2 linked regions of the Tribolium castaneum genome follow. The protein of the gene in region 1 interacts with the protein of each later gene in a pairwise test. Links are inferred from orthologs where the notes say so. Each region holds a gene or a part of one and is shown on either strand. Other genes may lie near its edges.

Region 1 (2,774 bases):
CTCCCTTCCGTTTGTTCGATTTCAAAGAAACCCACGCTGGGCTTTTGCATAATAATTTTAGTTATATGCTAGCTTTGGCTCATTCGGTTTGGCATCACGCTGGTCCGGGGCAGATCGCCAGTGTGCCCCGATGGGCGCGTGAGTGTTTACCGGCTGTGGTACGGTCCGAAGAACAGTTTCTCTATGTTTGTCATCTTGTGGGGCCCTTTTTGCAACGGTTTAACGTGGCAATAGTGGAATTGACGAGTGCTTTGTACGAACTGTTGGCACAAGTTGACCACGCGCACAGCGAGTTGAAATATATGGACCCGATCTGCGATCTCTTGTACCACATTAAGTACATGTTTGTGGGGGATAGCATGAAGAAGGAGTTGGAGACTGTGGTGCGCCGGTTAAGACCGCCTTTGCAAATGAGGTTGAGGTTTATCGCACATTTGGCGATTGAGGAAGTTAATGCATCGTAACTCACTTGTATTATGTTTTTACATTTACGTAAATACATTTTTATAAAAAAATAAAAAACTTAATCCGATTCACTCTCCCTTGAACTTGGAAAATCCGGTTTCGCTAAAACAGTTTGTTATTTAATTGGTAACATTTCGTCGTTACATACCTTGTTTGGCCAATTCTTGCTGTTTTTGCTCATTTTCTATATATTTGGTCTGTTCGGCAATCACCGATTGGCTGTCGCTACAATTTGAATATACCTCCAATATATTTTTATTCAGTTCGATAAATGAATGTCCCCACGAAAATTTATCTAAATACTGCCGAGCTAATTTTTTGTATCCGGTGATGTACAAAGTTGCGGCTATCGCTTCAACGCAACTTAATTGGCAAGGTCGCCCGTAATTGATGGGGTTTGCGGCCACGAGAAACGGTAATAAGCGCCCATGTTGGGGCTTGAGTGCTGCAATGGGTGTCTCGTCGATTCTGGCCCATGAGCAGTCCACCACGGCTACCCCCTTGCTTGAAACAATGTCGCGATCATTGGGACTTACGCATTTAGTGCCAGTCGGGGTTAATACCAGCCCTGGAAATTTTTGTTTGACTTTTAGGGTTTTAATTAATTTTAGACGCGATAATTTGCGGCCTGAACATTTCTTGGGGTCACATTGATTAAAATCCCACATGGCAATGGGAAAGTCGGGTACTGAAATATCATTTTAAGTCTAGTTTTTGGGGGCTGTGACGCTACCTTCTTCATCGCTGCTTTCGCTACTTGAGTCATCGGAATTATCAGTCGATGATGAATTTATTGTTGCGTTCTCAAGGCTCTCCTCGACAGAAGTCATGCTTTACTATCAAGTAAAAAATTAAAATGCGACTATTTTTTAGGTTAGATAACATAACCCATAAATGTCACGTTCAGTTGAACGTGTGAGTAGAATTTTTTGTTATTGAGTAATATTAATACAAAAAATTGGAAATTGTAATGTCTTAGAGTAATCAGTGTAATGGAACGATAAACATAATTGATCAGCTCGTAATTAACAATAAATATTTACAATTACGTAACCTCACTTTTTTGTGTCAACAGCAAGAGTGAAAACTGGAATTAGTTAAAAACTACTGCAAATGGAAGGGTTCGAATTGTTCAGACAAGGTGCCGAGGGCCGAATCTTCAAAGGAGTGTATTTGGGAAAACCCGCAATTGCCAAAGAACGATTCGTTAAGAAATACCGGCATCCGGATCTTGACTCACACTTGACCAAAGAACGGATAAAAAGTGAAAGTCGTTCAATAATTCGGTGTAAATCTGCCGGAATAAGGACCCCCGCCTTATATTTAGTTGATTTCAACCGCCGTACTATTTTTATGGAGTACTTTGAGAACAGTATCGTGGTCAAGGATTTCATAGCACAAGCAAGTAACGAAGTTATAAGTAAGTTGGCGTTAAAAATTGGGGCTGTGTTGGGCAAAATGCATGCCAATAGCATCATTCACGGGGACTTGACAACATCAAACATGCTACTTGTTAATAAAAACGGACAAAAGTCGTACAGTAACTTGCAAGATTTAGAGCTGATTTTTATTGATTTTGGATTATCTCACGTAGAGTCTAGCGCTGAAGATAAAGGGGTTGATTTGTACGTGTTGGAACGAGCCCTTATCAGTACACATAGCACAGCTAGTGAAATTTTTGACCAAGTTTTGGAGGGCTATAAATTAGAGAATAAGTCAGGGTTTAAGGAAGTTTTGGCTAAATTTAAAGAAGTGCAAGCTAGGGGCCGGAAGCGTACAATGGTTGGTTGATTCATTTATTTATAATCTTGATAGCATGCCACCTGCTACTACAATTGTTTCCCCAGTCATGTAACTGGCGTCGTCTGATGCTAAAAATGCAGCTGCGCCAGCTATTTCATGTGGCATTCCCATTCTGTAAAAATAAATTCTTTAACTGAAAAAACTCAATTCGTATTGCAATAAACCTTCCCATCGGAATCATTGATAAAACTTTCTTTTTGTCTTCCTCTTTCTCGACCAGCTATGATTCAAAATGTTATAACACAATAAAAAATGTTTTTGCCTCTTACAAAGTGCGAAAACTTGGTTTTTATTAAACCCGGGGCTATGCAATTAACGGTGATATTTTCTTTAGCTAACTGGGCTGCTGCTGTTTTAGTGAGTCCAAAGAGTGCACACTTGCTCACACAGTAAGCCCCAATCAACTTGAACAAAATTTTAGCTTAAAGTTTGAGTACCTAACTGTTTTTACATCCAAAGGCTGGAAACCACCAATGGACGAGATGAAAATAATTCGACCGCAGCTA
Region 2 (2,653 bases), on another chromosome or scaffold:
TTGTAGAGAATTAAATTTCCTACAAAAAAGTCCGCGATACCATATTTCTATCTTTAACGGTTTAGCTATAAATTAACTCTCCGATACTTGGCAACCGGTAAAATGAAACAAATCCGTCGCTTGAGCGTCTTTGGACCACTTTGGGGCCAAAATGGTTGAAGATATGGATATGGTCTCGCGGACTTTTTTTTAGCAAATTCAATTCTCTACAACTTTCTTCCTTACACTTTTTTTGTATCTTCAACCGTATTCGCACCGTTTTGAAAAATATGGGGGAGTGCAAATTGGTAAAAGTTTGACATTTTTTTAATTACAGTTTACGATAAATTTTGCTTATGTTGAGAATTTAATGCTTCATCTGTCTGTATTTTTTGTTTTACTAACATAACCAAGGAACAACTGCGCTCTCTGGCGACACTGACGGAACTATCGAGAACGGAGCGTTTTATTTGTACGTCGTTTCGTATCCTAACTTTTAGACATCCGTATCATAATTTAATTGATTGATTTGTTACAGAGGGAGAACTTTCGTTCGACGGGATTGATGTGTATAGTACTAGTGAACTTTGCTTGTAAGATCAGCTCAAAAAAGGACTAATAACTGCCGACAATTTATTAAACTTAACTGTTTCATTCAATTTTCCCATCAGTCAGTTCTTGCACAGCCTCTCTTGCAGTTTATTTATTAAGTCAATCAATTGGTTCATTCAGTACTGAATGCTACAGTTCAGTTAATAGAAGTGCTGATTTTTCAGCTACTTGTGTACATAGATTCAATCTTTTAACCATGTGCTTCCTTTGAAATATGGGTAAGCACATCAATATTGTGAATTATATATTTCTAATACAAAGTTTAATTACATATTTTTTACCCAGTTTGCGAGACGTGTTTTAGGTTTTTTACTATGTATCCGCTTGTTGTTATCATTTTGATTCGGAACGATCCTTTTTACTATTGAGAACTTGAACCGCCAAATAAATTGTATAACTTAACATAGTTTAATAGGTAATAAATGAATCGTCAATTTCTATAGCAGGTTGCAATATTTTCGGATTTCTGTAGGCAATTGGACGCATTCTTCATGCTCATTTCATTTTTATATTACATTAACAGAGCAAGACACTGTTTAATTCAATAATAGAAAATAAAATGTTATTTTAAAGTCTGTGTATCATTTTTTTACCAACTCGAAAACGTGTGGCGACACTTGATTGAACTTTATTAAGCCAGGATGGCCAACTCAAGCAGTCATTTTGGATGACTTGCTACTAACGCGAAATTCCTATTATTTTAAATTATTAAAGGAATTTCAAAAGACTGTATTGAGAGTATCAATAATTGGGTGGGAGCAGCAAACACGCACAATTTTATTTGTAATTTTATTAATCATTTTCGTGCGTTACAGATTCTACAGTAGCGAATTTCTCGCCTGAGACTGACAATAAACCTAACCCTACAATTCCACATTTTTTATTATTCACCGTTAAAAAATGGTTAAAGCGGCATTGGACCCCCTCGTGAATAAAACCCTCAACATCCGTTTATTCCACAGTGTTGAGAACGTGTCCGACTTGCGTAAAAAAATAATGTCAGGTCAACTTGAGTGTTGTCTCGTAAACCCCAAGTTGATTGTGGACCCGTTCCAGTTAGTCGTGGCCGCAAACAAGGCCCTAACTGCCAAAAACCGCACCACTAAAACGATTTTCACTGAAATTTTATTCAATTTGTCTGTATCCAAACACATAACGAAAAGTTTGCAACAGTTTGGGATCACTGACGACTGTAGAGACTTGCTGGTGGTGACTGTCGGCGACGACGACAGTCGCGTTCTTTCTGAAATTAAAGGCACGGAAGTGGAGTTGGGGGCACTTGAGGAGATTCGGGATTTGGGCGCTGTTAAGAAGGCTTACAAGATTGGGCCTGAGGAAGGGGCGACTAGCACTATTGTGGACTCCGTCGTCAGTAGGATAGCCACTAAGGATTTTATCTCGCATTGATTGTATTTAATATTGATAATAAATTATTAAAAAAGCTCTAAAAGCTGTTTGATTTTGGTGTTCCCGCTCGAGTGAACGAAAAACCCTAACAGTTGGTAGTAAGATGGCAGTTTTGTTGTCGTGCCATGCGTGTGTAAATTTTAGGTGTTGATTCCGTTTTTTGATGTAATCGTTACGACTTAAATAAATCCCACTTCACAACTCCTAAAAAACCCGAAAACGCGGCTGAAAACTATGACAGAGTTGGGTGTCAACGGCAATGACGAGAAAGACAGTGACAAGGAGGCTGTCTCCGACAAGGACCTGCCCCTGAGCTTCATGCAAGACAGGCACTTGGAGCCCATCGAGGGCGTCGAGTGCATAACGCAGACATGGCGCATGAAAGAACGCGTAACTGCAACCCGCCCACAAGTTGCTTGTTTTAATTACAAAATTCCAGATGAAAACAGTGAGTGTGGCCCTAGTTCTGTGTCTGAACGTGGGCGTGGACCCGCCCGACGTGATGAAAACCCAGCCATGTGCGCGTCTGGAGTGCTGGATAGGTAATTAGGTCGGCATGCGTTCGCGGAATTCAGGTCGTGTTCCAGATCCCTTAACCTTGTCCGCCCCAAAGTCGATCCAGAAAATCGGGGAGAACCTGCAGGCGCAGTACGAG

What was found.
Region 2: the proteins of Tcs5 (region 1) and EKC/KEOPS complex subunit Tprkb interact in binary tests that used the Homo sapiens proteins (3 or more experiments, as listed by UniProt). The link is inferred for Tribolium castaneum from reciprocal best matches to the Homo sapiens genes TP53RK and TPRKB.

The regions. Positions count from the first base shown.
Region 1 is NC_087394.1:35,200,347-35,203,120, reverse strand, and holds Tcs5 (EKC/KEOPS complex subunit TP53RK), read left to right. Parts: upstream 1-1,578; coding exon 1,579-2,256; downstream 2,257-2,774. Other genes in the region: MED23 (mediator of RNA polymerase II transcription subunit 23), read left to right, coding at 1-464; uncharacterized protein LOC658853, read right to left, coding at 524-567, 614-1,153, 1,199-1,295.
Region 2 is NC_087399.1:3,468,568-3,471,220, reverse strand, and holds EKC/KEOPS complex subunit Tprkb, read left to right. Parts: upstream 1-1,242; 5' UTR 1,243-1,352; intron 1,353-1,406; 5' UTR 1,407-1,491; coding exon 1,492-1,998; 3' UTR 1,999-2,042; downstream 2,043-2,653. Other genes in the region: Arpc2 (probable actin-related protein 2/3 complex subunit 2), read left to right, coding at 518-545; raptor (regulatory-associated protein of mTOR), read left to right, coding at 2,233-2,388, 2,438-2,540, 2,586-2,653. UniProt on the Homo sapiens protein: Component of the EKC/KEOPS complex that is required for the formation of a threonylcarbamoyl group on adenosine at position 37 (t(6)A37) in tRNAs that read codons beginning with adenine.